Lytechinus pictus: one gene and its partners. The main gene of each other region encodes a partner of the protein of the gene in region 2 in a complex. Links are inferred from orthologs where the notes say so. Each region holds a gene or a part of one and is shown on either strand. Other genes may lie near its edges.

Region 1 (7,205 bases), about 15 Mb from region 2:
GGATATCTCTAATGGTGCGTCCCTAACAAATATGAACACCCTTTCCTACCCACATCTCCTTCATTGACAACTTGGATATTTTGGAAACATCCACTTGAGAAAATCCCCCTAATCGACTGGTGGGCATTACGCTCCAGTGGTTTTGTAAACAACTTGATACATACTGTATGAAGGAGATCTTGTCAGATGATAAATCCAATCAGCATCGAGTACCGTGAATGGAAATTAGAGGGAACAATTCTCATTGGTCAATTCCAAGCAGGGAGGACAGGGCTTCGCCAAAATTTACGAGCTAGCTCCAACTTACGGTGCCACATGTCAGAGGGTCAGAATGAAGAGTTTTTTCTCCCCTGATTTTTTCCATCATCCCACATTTTCACACACAAACATCCACACATGTGATCTGTTAGCAAAGTTGGGAAAAGAAGCAACCAATCTCGCAAAGCGTGAAAACTCCAATGTTAATTTCGGTCATTTGCTTTCTCTTGCCTTTTATTTTCGCTTGTGTTAATATAACTTTTAGGCCTGCATGGGAGTACACATTGATTGGTCGAATGGTTTAAATGGCGTGCCCGCCAATCAATCAGCAAAATTTACACTAAAGTGAATGTTCGGCAGATCCCGATTATGACGTTGGGATTATAGCTCAGATACCCAAGTAATAATAACAAAATGACAAGAAAACAATGATGACAACAGTTTTTTTATACTTGATACAGGTTTAAAAATGATGCTACCGAGGTAATTTTTGAAAAATTAGCAATGATTGTATCACATTCACAGTTACACAACAACACGAAAGAGCTCCGAAAATGTTAATCCCACTCGATCTTGCCCTCGATACACAAAATAAGTCATTGTCTGCGTGCTCAAAACAGAAAGTAAACACACAACCATCTCACTTGAGCTGATTGGACCTTCGGCTTCGAAAGCCAATGAAACCTTCGGGGAAACAGAAAAAGCCACGTGGTTCCCTTATCAGGAAAGGTCGTGACTTCAGAAATAAATTGACCCCTCCCCCATGAGGGAGAGAGAGAGAGAGAGAAAGGTAGGGGGTGTGAGCCGGAGAATTCCTTTCAAATTTCAAACAATGCAACCTTTTTTATATCCCCCTCACACAATCAAAAGACATTCCAACACGCGCCGCCTTCATCAGTACTTTCTTGGTTAGTCTAAAAAAATAGACCCAGTTATACATGTAGGTTCAAATGATAAAAATTTGTAATTTTGAAAGGTATTTCAAATGAAATATTTTGCAAAATATTTTTTTTGAAATACATGTGTAGCATCGTGGGCAGTGCCACAAGTGGGGGTGGGGACATGGTGTGGGCAAGGAATGAATTTTTTTCAAGTGAAATGCTCCACCTGTGTGTCAGTCTCAAATAATACTTCATGAATGAGTTGTTAAAAGAGAACGAGAGAACTTAGTTGATTCAAGATAACTTGAATGAAGCAGAGTGGAAGAGAGGAGAAAAACAATTCGAGAACGTTTCTGAGTGATGGTAAATTACCAATTATCTCTGAAATATTCTCTATATGGTATTTTCATTGATGATTATATGACACCGAGGCTGTTACTTCAACATTTAATTCCTATTTTCATGATTAACAAAAAAAAGCAACAACGAAACAACCAACAAGAAACAACGACTTCATACCAAAAAAAATCAGACCTTTCTTACATTTTCCGTCAGAACTGATCAAATTTTAAATACCCTCAGATGAAAGTTGGCATCATTCCACGAGGTTTACTCTCTACTCTCTTTTTTTTCATAACTCCCTCCGTCCCCTTCTCTCTCACCTTCTCTCTAACTCTCTGTGCGGATCGGATTGGGGAAAGTGTCTGCGTTGGCGTATTTATTACATGAGCTCCGATGCTCCCTCTCCCCCTCCCTCTCCCTCTCTCTAGTGGACAGCCAGGCGTTGGCTTGCGATGACGTATTAACAACATTATAAGTGCACGGCATTTAAGTGCTGTTAGGGCGGGGATCCATTCTAACGCTGGTAGTGATACCAACCAGCTGGGTTATGTCGGCATAGAACTATCGTAAATCACTGCCTCGCTTGACAGTGAGACCCAGACTCCCAAGGGATGAATACGATATGTGAGTAGTGCTTGGAATGCATGGGGTCAGCTAAGGACAATCAGGTCAGCTAAGGACAATATGGGTCTGTTTATTGTGCTTGATAAACAAATAGCAAAATCCGATATTTGCTGCCGATATTTTCGACCGATACCGATCATAGGGATAAGTATGTGCCCCCGATCATCCGATCCGATCAGAGCTCTCACTTACAGGGTTATGCCAAGCATCCTACAAAATCTTCTTAGACAGTCCACGGGTGTGTCGTTGAAGAGAAATCCAGTCATCTTCATTGAGGGATTTTGATAAATAACGCACAAAATGTAATTTGTCAAGGTAGAACATGGAATACAATGTTTGTTAATTCAAAAGATTTCATGTAGCCTGAGTGATTTTTAATTAGATTAAATGAGGTGATCCCCCAATTTTTTTAAAGGGAGGGGATTGAAGACATATTGCACAATATAACATTTTAATAGAATTGGGGGCTTTGAATATTTAAATTTGTATTAGATATAAAACTTGTCCAGAAATAAGCATTTAATGTCAACTTTCTCACTAATGTCTATACTGCTATTTCTCATTTTAACACCACTTGTATGCTAATGCTCAGTAATCCATTTCTTTGCACCCATGGACCAATCACCCTTAAAACTTATTCTCATCTGCTTCTTGGCTTTCACCATCACTTCATGCATGCTTCACAATCATCCTTTGCTGTCATCCTGTATGCACATCTCCCACACCTCATCTTGCTTTTACAATGTAATCTCTCTTTTTTGGTCTTGTCTTGAAATGCTTCACACATCACAATTTCCAAAAAATTCTTATTCACAAGCAGTGCTTGCTCCTCAGGAATTAAATCATCCATCCCCGTTCCCCAGAGTTACTTGAATTAACTAAAGTTCAAGTGCTAGATTACAGAAGGAAAAATGGTCAAGATGAGTGTGCCCGATGGTTACATTCTATTTATTTGAGCAAATGGGGGCGAGCGTCGCGTAACGTTGGGGAAGTACAATAAGAAACAAGATGGCGGCGTAAACATCGGGCAAGTCTCTTCCGTCTTTTCACAATATTTTTCTCATTTCGTTGATGAATTCTTGTTTAAAAATAACGAGAGCGTAGAAATGTCGGAAATGAAGTTTTATACATGATTTATGGCTAGATGTTTTAGAAGGAAAGTAGAAATCTCGGGGGCGAAAGTTTCAGGGTTTTTTGCGGTACACGCAGATGAATAGGAAGGACTCATTGGCGGCGGAAGCAAAATTTTAGGGGGACTTAGGAAAAAAAATTGACAAGCAAAAAAAAAAAAAAAAAAAAAAAAAAGGTTAGGCCTAGCCTAGGGCCTACCGTATCAACAAAAAATTATTTTAGGGGGGGTCCGTCCCCCCACCTAAAATTTAGGGGGGACACGTCCCCCACGCTTCCGCCGCCTATGGAAGGACTCCCTGGCTTCATTTAGAGTAAGCCTACGTTAGTAAATGATTTTAACTCTCAAGAAGCCGCCTGGCTAAGGCCTAGCTAGGCCATGGCTAAATCAATGCGATGGAGCTCCTGGACTCGGGCTGGAGTTAGCCCGCCCCGGCCCCGGTCCCCAGCCGCGCAGCGGCCGTAAGTAAGTGCAAAAGCCTCAGCTCGCGCTCGCAGCCGATAGAATCTCAGTCTCAGACTCAGTCTAACGTTACTACTCTCATCTCAAGATCATTCATTTCTCTATTACTATACGTACCGAGCCATTTAAACAGATAACTTCAACCAACATTTAGCAGATGATTTATCATTTGACACAAAACACCTCGATCTATCCCTAAGAAATTCCGCATAATTTTCTTCGTTCTTGCTAGCAGCTGCCTGAGCTGAGCTGAACCGATTAATGAGGTCGCCGACGTGTTAACATCATACGTGTACTTTACAAGAAATTTGGCAATCAATGCCAATATTTTTTTTTCATTTACTGATTGTTACTTTTTTTATTCCATTGTAGAATAGTAAAAAATATAAATATGCAAATTTTGTATTTTTTTAATACTAAATTGGGTTTTTTTATTTTAAAGGTGATTTTTATTTCTTATTTCACTTTCAGATCTTACGATTTCAATGCTGCCAATTTGTATTGACAAATTTGTCAAGATGGCTTTAGACGCTGTGAGAATTAGAACTTGCGTTCAGGAAATCGTCAAACATGACTTACAGATCAATTCATATGCTCAGGTAAGTTCACGTACTAAAATCAATCGTTGATTTCTACGATTATTTGATGAAAATTATATTTTATCCCTAATTTTCTACATCGTACAATTAAGTTTATAATATTGCTATGCGATTCTGTGCGACTGTTTTTTAAACAGTCCCACATACCCAGCTCTGCGCTAGTAACTCTCCGAAGAATTGACAATGTCACTACTCACGTTAATTATGCGTGTCTATGTATGTTAGTGTTACAGTCTTGTAGTAGAGTCAGGTATTGTATTACCGGACACTGCACTATTATGATTCTGGACGCGCATATTACTGTGTACGAAAACAATTTCGTCCCGCAAGATTTACGCAGTTCAATTTCACAGAGCAATTGACATTTGATTTTGATTTGTTAATGTTAGAATTAAGTTATAATATAAGTAAGTTAGATTGAGAACAAGATTGCAAAAAAGCCAAAAACATTAATGGCGAAAAAATCAAATATTATCTTTTAAATTAAATGACAGAAAATGCTTAAAATATCATATGTCAAAGTTTTGCATTAACAATTGATATATTTTCTGGTGGAAATATGGGCATGATTTGCTGAATTTCAATCTTGTCCGCTCCTTCGATCGAATTGTGGTGTGGTGTATTGTGGGTGATCTTCGATGGCTAGCTAGTTCTCAAGGTACCCGTGTGCGAGGTTTACCGACGATCGACAGTGCATGATGTGCATCGATAGAACTTGATGAGTGTCACAATACGAACAAGCATAATATCGGAAAGTGCCATGCAGTTAAAAAGAACAAAAAAAATCAAATTAGTTAGCAAACGCAAATTTATTACCAACATCTGCTCAGATTCGATATAAAAAAAGCAAACAAAAACTAAGAATTTACTCATGATATGATATATGAAGAAAAAATCACACAAATTCTTTCTTACATCATTCTAATCAAGAATACTGACAAGAGTTCCATATGCACCCCTCACTAAAAAAGTAAAATTGAAAATAAAAACATGGAGAAGGTTCAGAATAATATATCTAGCCCTAATATAGAACATATATGATGGGGGAGTGGAAATACATACCAAATTTTTGGTTTATTCTGTCAAATTTCGAGCAGGATCTAGTGTGTGTAATTGTCCATAGACATCATTGGTTTATTTAGTCAGTAAAGGGTCTGTGAGTCAAGACTAGTTGAACTATTGGCTGATAATCATTAAAATACCCCTTCCGGTATCAGCACTTCTCGCCAGCATAGCGGGAAGAGGTCTTGACTGCAGATAAAACGAGGTGAGTTCGAGTCCCTACTAAGGTAAGCAGCAGTAAAAAAAATGATAGAAAAATCTGAAGTGAACGAACCGGAAGTCTCAACAATCTTTTGTTATTTTTGGTGGGGGTGCATATGGAATTCTTTCCAGAATATCTTTACCCATCCTACGCAGGCTTGGTCCTACGTACACACGTCCGGAATCATGATGTAATTTGTCGCATAAATAATTGTTTTTCGTGGAGGGGTATGCGGCAAGTGCGATGCAAAGAAAACAGTTGGTAAATATAAAATAATTTCATCATATGCATAATTTTCATAATATTTGGAATAGCATTTTTGTGCAAATTTTTCTTGATTGTATTTCCTCTAGTTGTCATTTTTAAAGCACTGAAATAAAGTTGTCCGGCAATAGGATACATTGCCATACTTGTAACTTAGATTCCCTTCCTCCGAGGTGTGGAGATCGGTGGAGAACCGCAGTTTGTTGAGATTTTGAAGCTTCTAATTGGGCCTGTCCGGTCGATGATGCTGGACAAGGACAGGTGAATAGTTCACGACAACCAGTAGGCCTACAGTACTTTAGTACTAGAGCTGGCGCACGGCCAATATTGGAGACTCTCTCCAATATGAAAGACAATCTTCCATATTCAATATGATATTGCAGACTTGCTTTTCAAAAGAACAAACGAAACACCACCAAAACGTGTAATTTTTCCACCCAAAATTTTGTCTCCCTGAGTCTGAGGTCAGAAGCCAATTTGTTTTGTGTGTGGATGACAACAAAAATCCTCATCAAAACAACAGTAGACTGAATTTTTTAAAGTAGACGGTGAAAAGGGGTAATTTTTCATGAGGAATCTGCTTGTCATATTTTTATTTGCCGCCAAGGTAATCCTTTTGCAGCAAATGTAAACATGAATCTTATCTTAAAGATACATGATATTTATCGGCCAATACAATTTACAAGTATTTTTTAAATCTAAGTTAGCACTGCTCATGATATTTTCGCCCTCTATACGCTTCTTGTAGCTAGGCTACGATAACAAAGACGGCAAGGTGGCTACAATAACAGACTGAGTAAACGCTCCTCTACTTTTAATATTTTGATTCATTATATATGTGTAATATTAGTTAAAGATATAACTATTTTGCGCCAACAGGATTCAAATGATATTGTAGCCCATTTCCATAAGTTTGGGCTCAAAAGCCTAAAGAAACAAGTATTTTGGAACAACATTATTGTCTCCAAAATACTTGGTGCGCGTAGAGCAATGGCATCCCGTCCCTGGCTCCGTGGAGATTAAGCACGTCAGTGATATGACATTAATCTCCAGGAGCCTCCTGGCTAGGTAGGCCTAGCTTGCCAGGAGGCTCCTAGAGAGTAAAAACAATGTACTAACGTATGCTTACTCTCCACTGAGTCAGGGATTGCGTCTCATTCATGTGCGTGTACCGCGAAAAAAATGAAACTTTTGCCCTTAGATTTCTACTTTCCTTCTAAAAGATCTAGCCCTAAATCATGTAAATGGGATACAACTTCATTTCCGACATTTCTACGATATTGATATCATTTTTGAACAAGAATTCATTTAAAAAATGAGAAAAATATGAAAAGACGGGGAAAACTTGCCACAATGTTTATGTCGCCATCTTGTTTTCTTTG
Region 2 (7,262 bases):
CTTGACATATGTGGTGTGAATTATATTTTCCTATATGACAAATGGAGAGTTGTCCTCAAAATCAGCCATTTGGAAGCACGTTTGCCAATTTGAGGATCGACATAGAAAGTACAACAGGAGTTTTCAAACTCCATAACTCGCTTATTCTATAACCGATTTTGATAAAACAAGTGTTAGATTGCTCCTCTCATCTAATTCTTTCTGATAAGATAGAGTTTCTCCTTGTCTTTTTGGTTTCCTTTAATGTGTGCCCCTTCAAGCATGTCCGGCACTGCTGAATAATTATGGCGGCATATCCTTGAACTAGTATCTCCAACTTTTGGACGCCCGTCGATTTTCTGGTCATGTTATTGCGAGCGTAAGACTGAGTTTTTAATTGTTTTTCACCTCATTTTCTTTTTTTTTTAACTCCCCCCTCTAATTAACCCTCATACTATTCAAGTGGTTCTATGACATTTGCTCCGCCGAAATTTTATTACTCCGCTGTTAATTCCAGACACTGAAGGAATTACCCATTTTAACCATGGGTTTAACATTATCATGATTATGCTTCATCCTAAACCTAACCTTATATTAACATAGAACCCCACTGCTACCCAAACCCCATCTTAGAGGAAGCCCCGAGTAACTATCGACGGATCAAAAGCCTTGTCACCATTTAGGTTGGGGAGTGGGATGAAATAATAGGTCACCCCGCCCCCAAATAGGTTCACCGCTTGGGTTTACACCAGCTCTATTTAACCCCTTGAAATATACTATCAGACTATATAGGACATGTAGACAGAGTTGTGAATTTGCATCCATGGAACATGTATATATCAGACTAAGAGTCTAGCTGATATTTATCAATATTTCAGTTATAGTAGCAGACAGAAATTTGTCGTTTTCGCTAATTATACAGAGCTGCATGATAAAAGTTGAATACGTTGTAATTTGTATGTTGTTGTAAATAGCAGTAATCCAAAAATTAATCATCTTCGTATCTTATATTCGTTTTACCTTATTGTGATCAAGGTTTATGTTCAACAATGCATAAATGCAGTGGTGATGAGAACAATACTTTAAAACTCATTTGCTAATGATGAGGTATTTTGACCAGCGCTTTGATTGTCATCACTGTAACCGCTCTTTTTATAACTTGCCTATAATGAGCTCTGTCTTCAATTATTGATCAATCATTCACAATATATTTCGATCTACTTCCAAGGTTGATGTTACTATTATGAATAAAGATACAAATGATGGAACTATTGTATCCATTTTCTGTTTTACATCATTCATCATTAATGCACGTACAGTGTATACTTGAAATTTGTAATTTGTTATTTTCAATTCCTCATAGTTTTACCTTTTCTTTATTCTGTACCCTCATAACTCCCTTCCCTCCCCTCCCCCTCCCCCTCTCTCTCTTCCTCTATTAGTCTCTCTTCCCTCTCATCTTAGAATTACCCCTCCATCATGTTGCTCTCGATGGGCCATTCAGTTCTAATACCTAACCCAACTTCAAATGTATTTTGTGCTCTACTGTCTTGTATGGTGTGCAATGTCTCTCTCCCTCCCTTTCTCTCCCTCCTTTCCACTGTCTCGTTCTCACTGTCGTGCGTATGGCAAGCCGTTTTAACATTTAATCATATTTCTTGATATCAAGAAATCGAATTCTTGATATCAAGAAATGGTTTTGTGTAGTTAGGCAATGGTTATTCTTGATATCAAGAAATTGAATTCTTGATCATTATCAAGACGTATGATTAAATGCTAAAATGGCTTGCCATACGTGCGATCCTTTTCGAACGCCACGACTGGCTTTTCGTAACCGATCGCGAAAATGTTTAAACCATTCAAAATACATGTATTAAACAATGTATTATGTATCAAACATGTAATAAACAATGTTTTATAATTAGTCTTATGTTATTACGTAATTTTCAGTAAGTGTGATCAACTGTTAATTTTTAGCAATATTCATTTCGTTTTGTAATGTTTTGTGATACATGTATGATTTGTTTGATTATGAATATATTAAAATAAAAAAATTGTTTAAAAAAATATGAAGCTATCTACGATCAAGACGATCGCTACAACTGATCTGATACGATCTGATAAGATCACTACGATTACTCAACGATTAAGACAACCGTTACAATCATGGCACTATTCGTGAGAGTGGGCAGCAATCAGTGTTCCATTATTGTTATCTTGTTTACTCTTCAGTTTCAAATAATTTTAAGCTGGCAGAACATTCGTAACTAGTGTATAATATGATATCACAAGAATTTGTCTTACTTTATTTATTTCGATTTATATTTTAACTTAAATGTGAATAAAGAAACAACAATCAAACTATCGTATTCATTGTCTATTTTCCTTGTCTATCATTTAAATCATGATGAATTGTATCTGTTCCATTTTTGTTTTAAGCCATTTCCCGAGCAATGAGCTCAAAATTCAGTAATAATTTTGCATTAAGATTTCTATAATCCAATCACAAAGCTCGTTAGATAAGAATCCAAAAGGCGTATATAATATATATTAGATATAATGAAATTTTCACTGATCTTGATCAACGGATGAATATTGCATGTAAAGATTAGAATGTGAGATGATAATCCACTATATAGTTCACATTAATGATTATGCAATTTTACCCAAATTTTAGACAAGTAAAATTAAGTCACAATTCGTTAGGCTTCCAGAAAAATGCAATAACTTTTGATTTTGACAATTAGTCGGATTAACAATAGGATTTTCAAGTTTTTTTTTTGTTGTGTGTGAAATGGATGTGTATGGGAACGAGTATGATAGAAGAAAATGATTCGGGAGCTTTTTGTGTGTGTATTACCCACAAATAAACACAATTCCATTGGTTTTTTTTTTCCAACGAGAGATAATAATGCTCGAACAATGAAATCTAATAGGTCTAAATGTGATGCCCTAATAGATGACACGAACAGAGAAATGTTCTTATATTAGACACCCAATGAATTTGTTTATTTTTAATCCTCCCGAAATGTAAAGTACAAGCAATAAAAAAACGTGAGAAAGTGTTATTTATGGACGTTTATTATGGTATGCCTATATACACCCGGGGAGCGTTTCATAAAAGGGCATGTCAGACGTTTTCTCTGACAAATCCCATTTTAACCGACAGTTACTATGATAACAGTGCCTTTCAGCCAATCATAATCAAGGAAAGTTGTCAGACCTGACAACTTGTCGGATGCAAATGTCGATGAAACGCTCCCCTGAATCTAAGCTACATGGGAGAATTTACAAATTGAAATCGAGATTGTGATCCCTCGTTATTCTTTCCTTGGAGACGTTCAAGATCGGTCCTAGAAATATTAATCTGCATGATATAAAAGATAAAATGCTGTAAAAACACAAAAATAGTTTTTACACACGCACACGCTGACGAATGGTGTTATAAAGGCAACAGTGTTCCCCAAAAGACGTCGACACCGATCGCCTAGTTGTCTGAAATGATGTGCCAGGAAAAGGAAGGCGGCGGCGTCCTCACAGAATAAAATAGATGTTAGTTGAACATAATCTATTGTCCTATTCTCTTCCCCCTTTTATTTTTCTTTTGGATTGCATAATGATTATTTTTATATAAATAAGAAGAGAAAATTTTAGGGACGGTTACATTTAACGTTCATAATTTTGGAGATGTTTTCCTTGTTTTCTTTATCCCTTTATACCTTAATACTGCATCAGCTGGAAAAATACAGTTGTTTTGGAGTCAAGTTTCAAGGTCAATCTTGTTGTCTTCCTAGCTTGGATGAATTCCGATACTGATCTGCTATTTGTGCTGTACTGGTATAGTGGTAATGCCATGGTCACATTTGTTCTACGGCGGCCGTACGGCGAGTCGAAAACAGCCGTTTTAACATTTTTTGTCCAACTACATATAGGTGGTTTGAATCAAAATTGATAAAACGGCTGTTTTCGACTCGCCGTACGGCCGCCGTAGAACAAATGTGACCAAGGTATAATGAAAGGGCACTATTCCCATGTGCCGCTGCGTAAACATAATGTCACTCAGACCAAAACTTGTGTAGCTTTGTCTTGACTTATTGTTTCTTTAATTCTACTCTATCTCTTTCACTTTCTTTTGTTTTCTAAATTATTTCTTATGTGTTTTATAATAATTTCCTTTTACTCTTCTTTTGCAATGATCTTTACACGAGATTTAGCGTGCGAATGTACGTAGCTTGGTTTTATTTTTTAATTTTTACTTCAACGACACCTCTTAGAATGACGTGTGAAGCTAAAAAGTAAAAATTTGTCAATATGGCAGCAGACAGAACCCCACTCTTCAAAGCATCAATTAAAACAGTTCGGACAAGAAATAAAGCTCTTGGAGTTACCAAAGATACTTCTAAGTCATCCCTCTTGAGTCATGCAAAACCCATGAAAGATGATTTTGCTTTAAAGGCAAAAGAAGTGGTAAGTATTTTTTAATCGGTTCCAGAGCAGAGGCGATAGCGAGCCGGGCCGGGAGCTCAGCCGACTCGGGGGCCCGCGGCGGGGGAGCTCAGCGGAGCTCCGGCATATGTGCACTAGAGGCGCACAGACACTGCACAGGCAGGCACAGCCAATATGGGAGAGATTATCTCCAACTTCTAACACCAGTATTTAAAGGTCAAGTCCACCCCAGAAAATTGTTGATTTGAATAAATACAGAAAAATCAAATTAGCAGAATGCTTTAATAAAATCGGATGTAAAATAAAAAAGTCATGACATTTTTTAAACTAAAGTTTTGCTTATTTTTCACAAATATGGCTGGGCGCTAAATGCAGTTTCGCACCGGCCGCCGGCCGATTACCAGCATACCTCATCACCAATACTTGTTCCCAAATGTCATGACAAGTCTCTCAGTCACATTTCGAGGTCAATATACCCACCTCTTCCAAATATCGGGAACGGCTGTATTTCAGCTTTGATCTCGATGTCGTTGTTCGAATCCTCTTCGCGGATCGCTTGGATTCGCCGTGCGCCGTAATGTTGATATGGACTGAAGTTATCAACCAAAAGATTCGCCTGCAGCATGCTGGCAGTTTGTTCGCCACATGTTCGCATGATTTGGTTGCTAACTTCAGTCCCTCCCTGGGTTAGATAGGGCGATGCCCTGCGCAGGTCTAATATGGCCACACATCGAAACTTCATCAATTCAAGTTTAAAAAAACATCCATAAATTTGGACCGATTTGAACCCAAAATTCATGAAATGCAATAAAAATGTGGTGAAACATAAAATGAGCTATCAGATTTGAGCTTATTTTGAGCGGATTACGTTGGATTTTGAAGCTAAATTTGGTATCAAAATCTAGCTAAAATTCCGCTGGTTACGATGCCGCCATATGCACTGTACAGGGGTACAATCACAGAGGGGGAAATGTAACCCAGGGAGCTCCCGCCCGCTGCGCGGGCGGGAGCCCAGGAGCTTACCGTGTATTTGACCATAGTCACCGGACTAGGGTGATTTATGGTCTAAATATTTCTCCAAATGAATTGTGAAAACAGAAAGTATACAATTACCACGATTATATGGATGAAGGTCTAACGAGTGGCAGTTTCCTGACATCTGGGCACAGACTGGAACCTAAAAAAACGAAAAGTTCTCTCCTTCTACCCCCGTTTCGATCGGCCATTTTTGTTAAAAATCGTAACAAAATTGTGCACATCCGCGAGAGCATGCTAGTGCGCCATGGCCGTGCCTACCTCTAGGCAATATCAGAGATTTTTGTATCCAATTTTAGATACGTTTACGTTTGCTGGAAAATGATAGTTTGCACCTGAAATTTGAGGTGCTGAATTATGACATGTCACTTGACAATCGATGATCGTTTTTTGTTGTGTCGTTGCAGGAACGCCCTTAGCTGCACGCATACGGGCATTGTGTAAGGGTGTTGGAAGTGTGGTGCTAAGGGCGTTCCTGCACCGACGTGACAAATTGTCAACTTATTTCACAATCACCAAAACACACACCAAAAACATTGCATTGTTATGCACAGGCATAATCGCTTACCATCGAAAAGTCCTAATTTAAACTCAAAATTTCCTTTAAAAAAGTAATATTTTACCCTTTTAAAGCTGCGGAATCTGCGTCATGATTCCAGAGCACGCGACAGCATAGCCTTATCTTAGGCTTAGCTCAGATTTGATAAGCGGGGTCGCTGAAAAATCTGTGGTTTTGTTCTGAGTTCATAAACTTTTGCAAATGGTATTTTAGGATCATATCTTAAAAGTGACATAATCAGAAAACCAGGACCGCATTGAATGTGCACAGAAATGAGTCAACAATAAGCTTCCGAGTGCCTTCATTTATTCGACAGGGGCACCTAGCTAGCCTAGAGGACTCTGTGATGATTTTATTTCATATTTTTGTCATTGTATTTTCATCACGGAGCCTTGACACGGACCAGATAGTTGAACTTGATGATTAAACAGGGATTTCCCTCTAGAATTACTATTTAGCCCTGCCAATTTTTACCAAATATGAAATTTATCGGATTTTGAAGATTTTATACACCTTATGCATATAAATGTGTAAAAAGTATCAAATTATAAACTTGAAAAATGAGAGGTTTCTTTCCAGACCGATCTGTGGTGGCCATTGCAAAATCTTCCCATGCTGCGTAATACAATAGTAGGCTTGACCCTTGACTCGCTTCGTTATGACGTAGCTACGATGAGCTACGTTATGAAGCGCCGTTTTGTAGAACAATCTATAGACAAAATTATTGTTTAACAAATAATTATCATTTAGGCCTACATAAAATTTTTATATTGGTTGTAAGTAAAATATAATTATTTTTTGTGGGAGATAGTCTCCTATATTGGAGAGAGTGAGAGTCGCCCATATTGGCTGTGAACATCTACTTCCTAGAGTGCGGCAAAATTTTGAAGCAGTAAAACTTAGAAGATGGTAAAAAGCGATAGAAAAAAGAATTAGAAAAGCACAAAAATTTCCATTTACTTTGATTCTTTACTTTATCATCTTTAATTACATGTGCAATAAATCCATGATTCTAAGCATGCGACCAATTCTTTTTAATGAAAAAAAGGGAGGAAACAAATTCGACACCCGTCATGATGATCCACTGTACATGTAGATTAGCTGTCCTATCAAGTATCATTTATCATGCTGCAGCATAATTTAGGCCTGGTAACAGCCAGGAGGCATTTGGACTTGGATTGGAGTGTATAATCATTACTAACACAAGGTTACTCTCCTAGATACCTGGCAATTGTTAATGTCT
Region 3 (7,337 bases), on a different chromosome or scaffold from region 2:
GCTGAAACTGGATTGAGCCTATATTAAATTCAAATGGACTAACTAGTTAAAGATAATCCCACAGACTCTATGAACCTACAAAGAGTTGATAAATGTATTTATTTTCATTCCGATATAATACAAATGGACTGAATATATATCTACAGTGTATGTGTTTTTCAGTGACCTCACTAAATCTTTAACTCCAGTTTACAAAGTTTCTATGGGTTCTTCTTTAGAATGAAAGATAGTCACATACTAAATGGAAAATTCCAGAGCCTGAATGTAGGCCCCAAAAGTCCTCCATACAATCAACAAACATGTACTATGTTCAGTTTTTATGATTATTTAATATACAATTGGCAAAAAATACTTCATATAATAAAATACTTTATATAATAAGGTACATTAACAGTAAATTAAGACATGTTCAGCTTGACATAATCTACTTGTTTGATTTGTCATGTGCAACTAAACATCTTAATATAACGACCCAAGAATTAAAAAAAGGGGGGAAATGAAGAAAGAATGTGTATTGACCTTTCACAGAATGATCCTTGACAGGAAAAACTGGAACACGCTCCAGACACGACGCAGCCATCTTCCTGGCTTCAAGATGCATTTCTTTGAGTGCTTTCAGGATGGTGGGAAAGATTGCATCTTTGGTTGTGGTCTGCTGGGCTCTGGCGACTATGTACTCCCAGGGAGTGATGACCTTAGACAGCATAGGCAGCGTGACCTTGATCAGATCATCGTCAAGAGGGGTCTTGGGGTCAAAGAACTGTAATATGAAGTCATCATGAATATTCATAAGATTGATGCATTGTTCAGTGAATACCATATGAGATTTTGAGAAAGAAGAAGTTCATTTCCTGATTATGAGATGAAAGGTCAAATCTATCAATCAGTTCTTTTACAACAGAATCATTAAAGGATTATAATGAGTAGAGTAAATGATGCTTATACCAGATCCGCAGAACATTTATTTCTGGGCCTATTTTTATAAAACTAATGTTTAGTAGATGATGTTACGATTCAATGAAAAAAATGACATTGACCAATCAAATGGCATCTTCAGTAACATTAAGCAGTACCTTTAACTTTATCATTCAATCAGGATTCTCATTTCATCTTTAATGATGAAAGGGATAGTGTTTGCAAAGTGCTAAAGCTAAACAGACATCCAGATGTATTATGATTTTGTTCCGATTGAACTTTTTGCTAACATTTAATGTAGATCTACAGGGCATTTGAATATCACACATAATTTCTTAATCAGTTGTTATTGAAAACTTACGAGACAAAGCAACAAATATTTCAAGACTTTATTGTAATTAATCAATTAGTAACAAAAAGCAGAATAAACTTTCAAAAACAGATTGAACAATCATATTACTTGCATTTCATAGAAAATCTTAAAATACTTTAAGCCCTATTTTGATACCATCATCACACCTTACGGAAATTAAAGTAAGTTAATTCAACATCCTGTATTAAAATGGTACCGTATTAAAAAAAAATCCCCTGTAGTATAATTTCCAGTCACCTTTGAAGTTGATGCTTCTGCCTTTGGAACATCTTTGCTGTTTGAGGTTATCACTGATGCATCGCCACTCTGATCAACGACCTTACGACCCGACCCTGGGGGTCTTCCTCTACCCCGCCCCCTTGGTTTATAAGGATAGTGGTAGGTAATTATAGCTGGTTTCGGCCGTTCTGGTTCTGGTTCTGCTTGTTTGTTTTCTTGGGATGTCTCTTCTGAAGAACTTGGCTTATCATCTTCGGGCTTGGGACTGGGAGATTGGTTCCCATTAGGTTTCTCGGCTGCCTCACTCGGGGATTCAGCTGCCTCGTTTGTCTCGGCTGCCTCACTCGGGATTTCAGCTGCCTCGTTTGGTGTCTCCTCCTTTGTTCTACAAGAAAATAAATATAAAACGAATTAAAAATACACCTTTGTTTTCATTATTTTTTCTCAACTGAACTCTTGCTTTGAGAATTATATGATGGTAAAAGTTGAAAAAATAAAAGGCTTTTTGAATAAAAAATTTGAAAGGTGAAATCAAGAAAAATTTCACAAATTCAAATAATAACCCCCCCCTCCTCTCTTTTCCTAGAACTGATGATTTAAACTTTAAAACAAGTTATGTTGTACAATGTACAGAGACTATTTAAAAAAAAAAAGACTCCTACTCTTTGTCACTTTGTTTCTCATCAGTCTCCATCTCCATCTGTGGGTCTTCATCTTCCGTCTTTGCAAACACGGCATCAGGATCTCCATGTGTCTGGTTGTCTCTGTAGTGTCTGGCCAGTCCGCCTCTTCCAATGTACCGCTTCTCACAGTTCTGGCATTTATACCTCCTCTTCTGATCATAGAAGCTAAGTGTCGAGGTTGCATTTTCACCATCATCATAATCCGAGTATTCTCCATCAGAGGAACCTGGCTGGTCTCCCATCTCTTCATTGGACATGGTTTTGTACTCCTTGATTCTATACAGTGGAGGCCTGGACACTCGTCCAGATCGAGTCTTGCAGTTGGCCGGTCTCTTCTGTCTCATGAGATGCAAGTCCTGCGAGGACGGCACTGCTGGAGCCATTCCCTTGGCCGCTGCTTTTCCACCACCTCGACCAACTTTTTTCTTTACTCCCAAGACTATGGCTGGCTTAGGACTCGGAGAGGATTTGACCGATGTTGAAGTGGGTGAAAAAGTTGTTTTTGTGGTTGTTGGAGTGCTATTACTGGGGAGCCTGTTGGACAGGATGGTACCGGGTGGGAAAGTTCTGACGGGTGTTTGCTGCTTGTTAGTTGCATTAGTTACTACTTTCATCATCGGAATAGTGCTTCCCTGTTTCTGACTTGTGGACAAGATGGGAGCAGAAACTGGAGTCGTGGTTGAAACTGGAACTTTAATAAGAGCTGGAGCCTTAGCTGGTGTTGAAGATGAAGCAGGTGGAGGAGCTGGGGCTGGAGTTGGTTTTGATGACTGGGTGGTCACAGTGGCTGGAGCATCTGGAACGCGAACAATGGTGATTGGTTGACCAGGATTCTTTGCCAAGAGGGCCTGCACTTCTGGGGTATTCACAATATTCGATATAAGCGTTTGGCTGAGAGCCCCTGTCCCTGGAGGGGTTCGAACAGTGATTGTTACCGGTGAAGGGGTTGAAGGTGCTACTCTCAGAGTTGGAACGCTTGTGATTGGAGCCGTCTGTTGCTGTGAGATGGCTTGAATGAGGCCAGGGGTATTCAGCAGAGATGTTCCAAGGCCAATATTACTAGAAGCAGAACCTGTCAACAAACTATTTCCATTCACAAGTAATGATGTATTTTGAGCTGATCTTGCCAAATTCAAAGATATTGGATTGGCCGCAGGTGCAGCTACTACAGAAGTGGGAGTGGTTCCTACAGCTGATGCAGAAGCAGTTTCCAGGATGTTTAATGCATCTTTATTTTTTGAGTTTTCGGTGAGAGAACAATCGCTGCCTGAATCGATCATGGTTGCAATGGACCCAAGTAAAGAACTTGCTGCAATATCTGATAAGACATTATTCGATGATGAAGACATGGCTGAATCATGATCCCCAGAAAGAGCAGAAGATTCGGTGTCAATTTTGGAAGATTCAGAATCAATTTGGCCAGTCAAACAATCAGCTTGTGATTCAATTGATCCATCAATCAGCCCATTGTCATTAGATGACGTGCTGTCAGCAATCAACATTTGATTCTGATCTCCAACGACGGGGAATCCATCTCCTGGTTCGGCTTCAGGAATGACAGTTTCAGAAACTTGTTTATCATCATGATCATCTTCTTCTAACAAGCCGCTACCCGCGGCTCCATCGGTGTTTGCGTCTGTCTCTCCTGCCGCGGCAGAGAAATTTATTTCATCTTCCTGTCCAGATTCATCCATCTTTGAGAGAGCCTCGGACAAAAGATCGGGTGTTTTTCCTTCCTTTGTTCCTGGAGAGCTTTTACCGATAAAGCCTTGCTGTTTTACATTATCCTGTGTGTCGGAATCGGGATCAGAATGGGTTATTTCTCCAATAATTGCATCCTCCGCGTCCGCCATGTCAAAGCTGCCCTCAACAAAAGTAAACCCTGCGAGATATATATATAAAGGAGACCCTGCGCAGTCGTTCTCAGTTAATTAAGAAGTTATTGTACCAAGAAGTACCGTAGCGTCTGAAATAGAATAGTATAAAACGACTGGTAATAGTCTAGGCACTTGATTGAGGTCACCTGATTGTGTTGTATTCATTAACGTTGTAAAAAGTTACGGATCGGGAGTCGGAGAGTTACACTTGGTCGGACTGAGGAGAAAGGATCATATTCTTCTGGATCTGTGTTAAATAAAACGTCCAAAATGTCATCGGAGCGATTTGAAAGGATTGAAGATGACTATAGAACTCTCTGCGACACAGTCAAGTACAAACTTGAAGCAAGAATTCCGAATTCATCTGGTGGTAAGTCACACACACACCCATCCACATTCATTTGAATTTTGATTGACTGAAAATGTGAAATGAATGATTTTGAATGACTGTCTTTTTTGTGAGTTAGAAGTTAGCATTGTTTGTAACAGACACTGGTGACTGAAGTCTATCTAACGTTAGACTAATCTAACTTTAAACTTAAGAATTGTATTGATCGACGTCCACTTAAGTTGAACTTGAAGTTGAAATTTTATTTCAGCTTTGCATGATCATGATGATGTAAACCAATTCATTAAGGAGTTGGATTTCTAAATTAATATTAATGCTTTCTCTCAAAGAACCTGTAATGGGGTGACCATAATTTGCGCACATTTCAGAAGTGATCCTGAAGTTGATTTTCAATCAAAAATATCTCACAGTTCACCCAAAATTAATCAAAATCATAAAAACTAAACAAGCCAATATCCCAAAGTCAAAATTCACTTGAAGTAGGTCAAGGGTTTTGCTGGTAGATCTAAAAATTCCATGGCGATCGACTAGTGCGCTCGGCTGAAAAGTTTCATAAAAAGTGTGACCTTAATTTGCGCAGGATCAGGATCATTTTGCAAAGCTTTAGAAAAGAAATCAAGCAGACAAAGGTAAAATAATTGTATCAGATGGAGGTTAAAATGCGATAGATTAGGTTGGTATCACATTTTACTTCCTTATTTTGGAGACTTTTGCTCACAAACTGGCGATTTCTTGTAACTTATCGAGAAGGTCAGATTTTCTCGGAGCAGACGCAAAAGGTAACAAAATTTGACAATGTTTTGCCAATATTTTCACAAATTGAGACCTTACCTTCAAGAAAATTACAATACTGAGGAGACTCTAATATGTTAATGTAATTTGGGTCGCTTTTTTCTTTTGGAGATATCAGTTTTTCAAGATATTAATTAGATATTGAGATATTCGACCGTGCGCAAAATTAGGTAACGCGCAAATTAAGGTCACACCACCATACCTGTTCTATGTTCAAGTTAATTTTTTAGTTTCGTTATTCATTCTTGTATTTTTTACTAGGCTGTTTCTCTGTAATACCTGTTAATTAAGCAGAGGCAGAACATAGATGCCAAATTGAAGTAGGATGTTGTGTCATCAACAAACATTGACAGAGTTTCATTAATTAATAAAGATGGACATTAGTCTAGACTCTTAACGTATGTGAAGGGCCGGAGGGGAGATTTTTCTTTCTTTTTATACTCTTCATACTTTATGCTGTTGAGCTTTTTCTACCTAAATTTTTGCTTTTCTCTCTTAGTCTTACTGTATGTCACTATTTGCAAAACCAATGTAGGAGCATTTGGGGTATTTGTTCAGATTTCAGATTGGCATGGGTAGAGCTAGACAGCTGGCAGCCGTCTGTTTTGAGGAGTTTTTTAACATTTTTTTATTTTTTAAATTTCTCCTCGTACACAGACGGCTCGCTATCGTGCAGCCACCATTAGGGGACTTGCAATGCAAAATCCCCCCGTAGGGGCTCTTCAATTTTTGTCTTTAATGAATAAAAATTTTGAAAATTAATGCGACCAAAATGCAAATTAATATTCCCTCCTGGCATTAAATGCCAAAAAACAGAGAAAAATCAACTTAAAAGGAACAAAAACAGTGACTTACCTCGGCTGTCGCGCAAATTCACTTCCCCGTTTTATCCGATCTTAAGTACATAAACATATGGCCATTGAGTCCCCTGTACAGATCGCGCTAGAACTTCAGTCTCTGTATTTGGTGAGTGAAGCCAACGGAGTTCAGCTGAACAATAACAGAGACCGAAGCTTTTGGTCTAGGGTAGAGCATGCATGGACATAGAAAATTTTCATCTGGATTGTACATGTTCAGGGACCTTTTCCAAATGTGATTTGAATATGTTGACAGTTTGACTGTTCTCTGTAATACCTGTTAAGCAGAGGCAAAAACATAGATGCCAAATTGAAGTAGGATGCTGTGTCATCAACAAACATTGACAGAGTTTCATTAATTGATAAAGATGGACATTAATCTAGACTCTAACAGTCAGTCCGCAAGCCCCTGTGTTAATGAGCAAATGAGCAAGATTTATCCAAGTCCTCTCGTGGCTGAATTCATGTCCCTGCAAAATCTCGTGAATTGTGAGACTTTCTATCTCAAAGAATTTAACCACTTTCTCCTTGAGTAATATTGATTATTTTTGTACCATGGGCAAGAGTAAATGTTACCCTTTTATATTGGTCATTTCTTTTGAATGAAATATTTTGATAAATAAGTGAATTTTTTACCTGAAAAGATGCATCAAACATAATTTTCTTCCTCTGTTTTCACTTGCAAATTGTGCAACATTTTGTGTTTTAGGCACCAACATTATTTATATCATCAGAAAGCTCAAACTCTATACTTTCTTACAATGTCACTCTTGATATGTGGCATCTTTTAGATGGGTCAGCAGCCAGTTATTTCCATCAAGATGTAAGACGAGATTTCTGAAATTTCTGAGTAACATAAAATCCAGAGTTCTGATTGGCTGAATACTGTTTTCAAAACAAACAGGCGCGGGTAATTTGAAGAGATTACCACATGGTGAGTGTGACCTTGCAGAGGCCCAGTGTGGGGAACATTGGAATTTGCGTGGGTGTGTGGTCTATGACCAATCAGAGCGCAGTATTCTTGTTTTTGAGCTGCAAAATGTACTTGGCCTATGAAAAGCTGGCTGCTGACCCATCTAAAACACATCTTCTTATAAAAATTATATCATATTAAAGCTTAGATCTTCAGCTTTATCATGATTTAAAAATCATTTGTGCCTAAACAGAAATTAAGTGTGAAAACAACAACTTTTGTTGCATGAAAAAAAATATTTTGTTTCATTTTTTAGATCCAAATTTTTCCCTATATTACAACATTCTTTTAAAAATCCA
Region 4 (7,511 bases), on a different chromosome or scaffold from region 2:
TATTTTTTTTTAAATTTTATCTGATTTTGATAAAATTTTCACTATTTTGCATGGTAAAAATTACTTTATTTTAGATTATGTTGAGCCCGTATCATATACAAGTACAACTTTAAAGATAAATTACCAGTTGTAGTAACAATCTTAAAATGAGTTCAAACAGAACCCAATAGAATTACCAGCAAAATATAAAAGACATGTGCCATAATTAATTATAGCTCGGGAAGAAAATGTGTAATTGCTGAGAAATGAGCAAAATAAGCATGTAATTCTATCCAATGTCAGGTATTTTTCAAATCAATCATAATACACTGTCCTGTCCCACATGTTCTTTTCTGTGTTAGTGATCATCAAAATAATTAATTTTAAGTTCAAAATTAGTGATTTTACAAAAATACAAGCTTACATTAATGTACCAGATCTAGAGATTATGTACAATATTTTGACAATTTCTCATGAAATAATTGTTTGCTGCAACTGCTGTCTTTTTAATACGTTTAAGTGATAGTGTAATACAACCACAAACTTTTCTTAAGAATTAATGTACATGTATGATTCTTTCACCCAAATTTACATGCATTGATACTGTTGACTACTTGCCAAAAGTTCCTGCTAAAAGCCTTTTTTAACGATGTACATGCTTTTATAGACGACCTGCCAAAACATTGTATTGTATTATATTCAAGGTCCAACCAAAAAGAGATGAATAAAATGTTTGAAGGAAATTGAAATTAACTTTAAAAATGATAGAGCTCTGTCAATGCAGTATTATTACAGGGTTCCCACAGTCATGGAAAATCCTGGAAAAAAATTGGTCATGGAAAGTCAGGGATATGTGAAAAGTCATGGAATTGCATTTACCTCTTGGCTATGACAGCTTTCTAGTTTTTTATGTCTCACAACTCTCATACTCTGTGATTATACTCTACTATTATAATTGGTGTTCATGATCATAACATGTCTGATTTTGTAAACTGTGCCAGAAAGGAATTAAGTCATGGAAAGCAGCAATTTAGTCATGGAGAGGTCATGGAATTCTGTTTTCAAATTTCTGTGGGAACCATGAATAGGTTTGTGCACTTGACACAGTGTGCACTACAGATGAACTTTGTAATGCCATGATATAAACCAGTACAATATCTTAAAGGAAAATAAAAACCAAAATATAATACCACATGATACCATTGATAAATACAGGACAATGAAAATGAATCCACTCATATACCCCCAATCCGATGTCCCAGTATGGAGTACCACCTTTTCAAAGTTGGCATCTTCTGGTACAAAGTCTATGGATGGGGATTATTCCGTCAGCGACGAACTACATCTCTAAACGTTTGGGCATTAAATATTCTATTTCATCGATAATAAATCAAATGTACAGATAAAACTCATAAAATATTAATTAAAATTTGTTTAATATTATATGATAGGTTCAAATTACGACTTGATGAGTTTTAATGATAAAAATTACACCCTAATCTACGATTTACAAATTGGCAGCGGAAATTGGGGTGTAAATCTTATCATTAAAACTCATCAAATTGTATTTTGAACCTACCATATATTAAACAAATTTTAACTAATATTTTTATGAGTTTTATCTGTACATTTGATTTGTTATTGATAAAATAGAATATATAATGCCTAAACGTTTAGAGATGTAGTTCGTCGCTGATGTAATAATTTCCTAACTAACCCCGCGAAAATGGCGACCTCCATCCAGAAACTTCGAACCATACTGTAAGAGGCCAACTTTGAAAAGGTGGTACTCCGTAATTGGATTAGGGTATGAGTGGATTCATGTTGATTGTCCTGTATTTATCAATAATATCATGTGATATTATGTTTTGGGTGTTATTTTCCTTTAATTCAGATATTACATGCCAGGGTATTGTCCTAGTTTTCATTTTCTCCAAATACATATTATCATCTCTCGTCTATTTCTACTTGCCCTTCAGCCTTGAAGTAAACTTGGGATAATTATGCATTTTGTTATACGCAATTTTGAGTACAGTGCACTTTGCCGCAGCTACTTATATGATATTACCTATTGTAGACACATCCTTATGTTTTGTTCATTTTCTTAAAAACGATTAAGAGTTTAATCATTTTTGTCTTTAAGCATAAAACAAAGAGTAAATCAGTCCATTCTGTATGTGTGACCTGCAAAAAAACTACAATGGTCGTTAATTTGGTTTGCTGAAAAGCCAGATAACCTTTGAGGTAACTTTTTAAAGTATTTAGAAGAAATGTATCTGTTTTAAAAGTATTTATATGCACTGTAACTAATTTCTTTGATAGTTACTATTATGTTACACTGTTTGTACAGTAAAGCAGCTGTTACACAATTTTTGTCAATATCAAATCTAAACCAGTATTGTAAATTGATGACTCTATGAGCTAAATACCAGTACTTTCTATATCACTTGTAAAATCATTTGTTGTCTGTTCATTGAAGGTGTTGTATTTTCTTAATCTTATAAAAGTACATAGGGTCATGAACACATTCTACTGCTACCAAAATCATACCCATGATCTGTGATGTATCTAACCAGTTACCACACACATTGCAACACACCAGTTGCAACATACATTATCATGCATCAGTTATCACACATCTAGTTACCACACACATTTTGGGTAATGACTCTGATGCATGGTATTATGTGTATTATGTACAATATGTGTGGTAACTGGTTAGTGTTTACCACACACCATTTACCACACGAATTACCTCATATTTTACCACACACCAGTTACCACATGCATTACCACACACCAGTTACGTAACTGGTGTGTGGTAGTGTATGTGGTAACGTGTGTGGTAAATCGTGTGTAGTAATGCATGTGGTAACCGGTGTGTGGTAAAATGTGACGTAATTTGTGTGGTAAGGCATGTGGTAAAATATGAGGTAATTTGTGTGTGGTAACCCGTGTGGTAACCGGTGTGTGGTAAAATGTGAGGTAATTTGTGTGGTAAGGCGTGTGGTAAAATATGAGGTAATTCGTGTGGTAAATGATGTGTGGTAACGCGTGTGGTAACTGGTGTGCGGTAAAATGTGAGGTAATTTGTGTGGTAAATGGTGTGTGGTAATGCATGTCGTAACTGGTGTGTGGTAAATGGTGTGGTAAATGTCGTGTGATAATCTATGTGGTAAATGGTATGTGGTAAAAATTGTTACCATAAATTAATCCCTTGTGTGGTAAATGTTACCATATATTAATCCATTCATGTGGTATTCCTGTGGTAATGTTGTGTGGTAAATGTTCCAATTTACCACAGGACAATACCACACGACATTACCACACATTACCACACAATACCACAGGACATAAAGACATAGCATTACCACACAACAATATATGTGGTAATCGTGTGGTACAGTCCTATGGTAATTATATGGTATTACCACAGGACATTTTTGTAAGGGGTCCCTGTTATATAGGCCCTATATAATCGATTAAAAATCTTGATCACCACCAGCATGACTATGGTCCAACCATGGTCCCAGCTAGCAAGCTGACGTTGGTTGGGCCAATGCGGGGTGCCGATGTCGGCCACATTCGGCGAATATCGGATTCCATAGACCAATGAAAATTAGAATACTACGTACGTACGTAATAATACTGCGTACGTACGTAATAATACTGCGTACGTACGTAATAATTATCACGTACGTACGTAATAATACTGCGTACGTACGTGATAATACTGCGTACGTACGTAATAATTATCACGTACGTACGCAATAATACTGCGTACGTACGTAATAATTATCACGTACGTACGTAATAATACTACGTACGTACGTGATAATTTTTTTTTTTTGGTTGTCAAAAATGTCCGGTTTGAGGCTTCGTAGTTCTCGAATCAAAGTTAAAGGAAAATGAAACCCTTGAAACCAGCTGAATCCATATCAAAGAGAAAAATCAAAGAAACACATTGTTGAAAGTTTGAGGAAGATTGAATGAACAATAAGAAAGTTATGAGCATTTGAATATTGAGATCACTAATGCCATGTAGATCCTCCCATTGGCAATGCGACCAAGATCTGTGATGTCACACACGTACAACTCCCTCATTACTTTAGTACATATTTCACTTATATTCTCACTTTTATAGAGTCTGTCACAAGGTGAGGTGTTCTCTTTATGAGAGGACAAGTACAGAGGTTTCACAACATTATATCATTGATGAATCGTTTGTCATATGATTAGAATGAGCAAAAAGAGATGTTTTGGGGTATATTTTCAGTGTCCAAAAGGGGAGAGTTGTTCATCAGTGACATCTAGATCTTGGTCGCATTGCCAATGGGAGGATCTACATGGCATTAGTGATCTCAATATTCAAATGCTCATAACTTTCTTATTATTCATTCAATCTTCCTCAAACCTTCAACAATGTGTTTCTTTGATTTATCTCTTTGATATGGATTCAGCTGATTTCAAGGGTTTCATTCTCCTTTAACTTTTGTGAGAAAGAAACTGGGCATTGAATCAACGTTGCGGTCGGTGCTAATCTACGTGGAATTGAAAACGTAAACACAAATATCGGCAGCTTGAAATTAACTCACTATTTTCCCTGAAATAATGTCTGACTGGGACTGGGGATCGAAGAAAACAGGTAAATATTTTGAAATTACTGGACTGATTTATTCAACTCTATTTACTTTATTGCTTAACAAATAAGTTAATGGAAATCTTTCCTTTATTTTCTTGAAACTCTTCAAACAGTACTGCAACGTGTCCCACACGTACAATTTTGTGTTTGTAAACTCTTCATAATCAACACCAGTTTTCTCACTCGTTGACAGATCGATTCCTCATTCCAACTCTTTTCTATATCATATGTAACAAATTATAGAATAAAGTGCTCAAATATAGGACACTTAAGCATGATTGGACCAAAACAAAAATATAGGCCTAATCATTGAAATATTGAATCAAATGAAATTAATCATGTCTATTTGTGGTTGAAAACTTTAGTAGCCTAGTTTTATTTTTTTGTAAAAATCAAATTTTGAAAAAATGTGGTAGGCCTAAATGGAAATTATTCACTTATACTACCAGAAGCTTTTTTTTGGCCAAATACAAGAAGTGTAAAGTTGTGCGCCGCGATCAATTTTGGCAATTTAAACTGCGCTCTAGGCCCTAAAGACTAAACCCCAAAATAATCGCTTGATTGTTGAGAAAACATTTTTTATTTCAGCTGCGCAAATGCCGATTTTGAATTATTTCTATTAATAATTTTGATGTAGAAATCTGTAAATGATAATTATTTACTTTCCATATGGACCTCTTTCGGCTCTAAATATCGGACGTCTTCGCTTAGCTCCGGGTGGCTTCGTTCTGAAATGCGAGCGTGGGCGTGTGAACAGCACGCTTTCCAGTGCAATCGGACGAGATGTCCGATATTTGGGAGGGTGTTGAATTTCCCGCCGTGTGGAAACCCGCGATGGCCATTGCAGATCTTTTTGCGATAGATTGAATATGTGTCATATTGGTGGCGATATTTCCTGCGAAAATCACTTCCCCCTTACAAGATTTTTTTTGGTCATTGATCTTTTGGAGTTAAAAATTAGTGAGGGTCATAAGAATCTTAACCCCTGGAATAGCTTTTCTGAGCAGCAACCTGGATCTATTGTGTGTGCAGTTCAACAGTACATGTATCACATGTATGCAAGTCCCCCGCCAGTGTGGATCCCTGTAGTTGAAGTCTTTTTCGTCCAATATTTGGACACTACTCATTACTCAAGTCATTTACCGGCCAAATCATGGTTTTTGGAACCACTCGTTGATTTGTGCATGTGCACGTGTGTACAAAGTAAATGGAGGTGGAAAATAGGGAACCATGCGTTGTGACTGAACTATAAAGCGCTGCTGTACGAAGTAAACGGTGGTTCCCAATTTCACGATAATGACCATTTACCCAGTCTGTCCAAATCAGGAAGAAGTAGATTGAATTTGCAATTCAATATTGGGCCTGAGGCTTTTTAAGCTAATCACTCAGTCTTGGATTTAACCCACTTATTTATTGAACAAGGTTATGATATAACAAGGTTAAACTGTTATGATAAAACCTTGTTCTCTGTTGGGACTGTTAGGACTCATCCGTTTTTGTCCGCATGATTTTAGTCGCCAACTTCAGTCCATTTCAAACTTGTAAAAGATTTTACCCGTCCCTATTGACCTGTGTGTGAATTAATTCCTTGTTATTTTTTTTTAATAGGTGGACAAAACAACCACGGTGGTAAAATGAGTACGGAGGACATGCTTGAAGCCGAAAATGACCGAATGACACTCGGTCTAGCAGCTAAGGTCTCAACATTGAAATCTGTGAGTAGTCTATGGGTTCATAATCACTTAGGTCTGAGTGGGCGCGTCGTGGTCTAGTGGTTCTGACTCTCGCCTTTCAAACAGAGGGTTGTGGGTTCGAATCCTAGCCATGGCGTGTTTTCCTTCAGCAAGAAATTTATCCACATTGTGCTGTGCTCGACCCAGGTGAGGTAAATGGGTATCAGCAGCAAGTAATTCCTCAAAAAGCTGTGCGCACCAGAATCGGTAGACCAGTTTAACCGGGGTAATATAGGAGCGCCTTGAGCACCTAGCAAGGTGGATACGTGCGCTATACAAATCCTATATTATTATTGTTATCAGATAATCTTATAACATATGGGCTGAATGCATTTGGTCCAATATCAAATTGAATCGCTATTTGTCTTACAGTACACTATCTAATACCATTTAGTCTAATCTAATTCTTGTGTAGTTAAATGCACAGAGGGCCCAATTTCCACTTGACATTAAGGTCGTTGGTCACATAGGTCGTTGGATGCCAGAAAAGTCCTTTTCTTTAATATTTTTTTATGAATCATTTGATCAATCAGCTTTGGCAGACTGGCAGTGATACACTCAACTACAACTATGGAAAGCCAGCAGCATCAACAACTAAAATGCATGTTTGTTCAAAATATTTTCCAGATATGACGTATTCATCTTCACGCTTTCATATGTTTTTTGGCAATTCATCATGCTCTACGTATACAAAAGGCCAATGTTTTGAATTTATCAGCTTATTTGGCACTTTACCTTTCAAAACTGTAAGAATAATATCGTAAATAGTTTTCTTTACCAGTCATGCATGGATACAGAACACGGTATACATAAAAAAGGATGCAATCAATGTAAACAAAATCTTGACATTTTTTGCTTTTCATAATTTAACACCAACTTCAACCATGGTTTTAGTTAAACCAGACTTCAGAATAATGACCTTTACCTTTTTTCTTGTTTTCTTTCAGCTTGCCAAGGATATGGAGAATGACACAAATGACCAAAATGTTTATCTTGATGGAATGGTAAGACAAGAGATATGTTTGATCTGGAAGGGGGGGGTAGAGTTAGGGACAGTCACCAAAGACACATCCATGACCAGGGGGGTGTTTCACAAAGTATGACTAAAGTCGCACTTAAATGCTGACGCGTGCATGATATGCAACGCGCGATCTTAT

The links.
Region 1: syntaxin-18-like (region 2) and vesicle transport protein SEC20-like share a complex: the UniProt entries of both Homo sapiens proteins name them as parts of the SNARE complex. The link is inferred for Lytechinus pictus from reciprocal best matches to the Homo sapiens genes STX18 and BNIP1.
Region 3: syntaxin-18-like (region 2) and vesicle transport through interaction with t-SNAREs homolog 1B-like share a complex: the UniProt entries of both Homo sapiens proteins name them as parts of the SNARE complex. The link is inferred for Lytechinus pictus from reciprocal best matches to the Homo sapiens genes STX18 and VTI1B.
Region 4: syntaxin-18-like (region 2) and BET1-like protein share a complex: the UniProt entries of both Homo sapiens proteins name them as parts of the SNARE complex. The link is inferred for Lytechinus pictus from reciprocal best matches to the Homo sapiens genes STX18 and BET1L.

Annotation. Positions count from the first base shown.
Region 1 is NC_087256.1:1,387,523-1,394,727, forward strand, and holds the start of vesicle transport protein SEC20-like, read left to right. Parts: upstream 1-4,188; 5' UTR 4,189-4,214; coding exon 4,215-4,295; intron 4,296-7,205. Other genes in the region: ectonucleoside triphosphate diphosphohydrolase 4-like, read right to left, coding at 3,814-3,821. UniProt on the Homo sapiens protein: As part of a SNARE complex may be involved in endoplasmic reticulum membranes fusion and be required for the maintenance of endoplasmic reticulum organization. Also plays a role in apoptosis.
Region 2 is NC_087256.1:16,138,634-16,145,895, forward strand, and holds the start of syntaxin-18-like, read left to right. Parts: upstream 1-4,244; 5' UTR 4,245-4,290; coding exon 4,291-4,446; intron 4,447-7,262. UniProt on the Homo sapiens protein: Syntaxin that may be involved in targeting and fusion of Golgi-derived retrograde transport vesicles with the ER.
Region 3 is NC_087251.1:45,500,736-45,508,072, reverse strand, and holds the start of vesicle transport through interaction with t-SNAREs homolog 1B-like, read left to right. Parts: upstream 1-4,337; coding exon 4,338-4,437; intron 4,438-7,337. Other genes in the region: mucin-2-like, read right to left, coding at 520-760, 1,526-1,892, 2,170-4,043. UniProt on the Homo sapiens protein: V-SNARE that mediates vesicle transport pathways through interactions with t-SNAREs on the target membrane. These interactions are proposed to mediate aspects of the specificity of vesicle trafficking and to promote fusion of the lipid bilayers.
Region 4 is NC_087250.1:19,732,945-19,740,455, forward strand, and holds the start of BET1-like protein, read left to right. Parts: upstream 1-4,500; 5' UTR 4,501-4,590; coding exon 4,591-4,624; intron 4,625-6,229; coding exon 6,230-6,336; intron 6,337-7,301; coding exon 7,302-7,358; intron 7,359-7,511. UniProt on the Homo sapiens protein: Vesicle SNARE required for targeting and fusion of retrograde transport vesicles with the Golgi complex. Required for the integrity of the Golgi complex.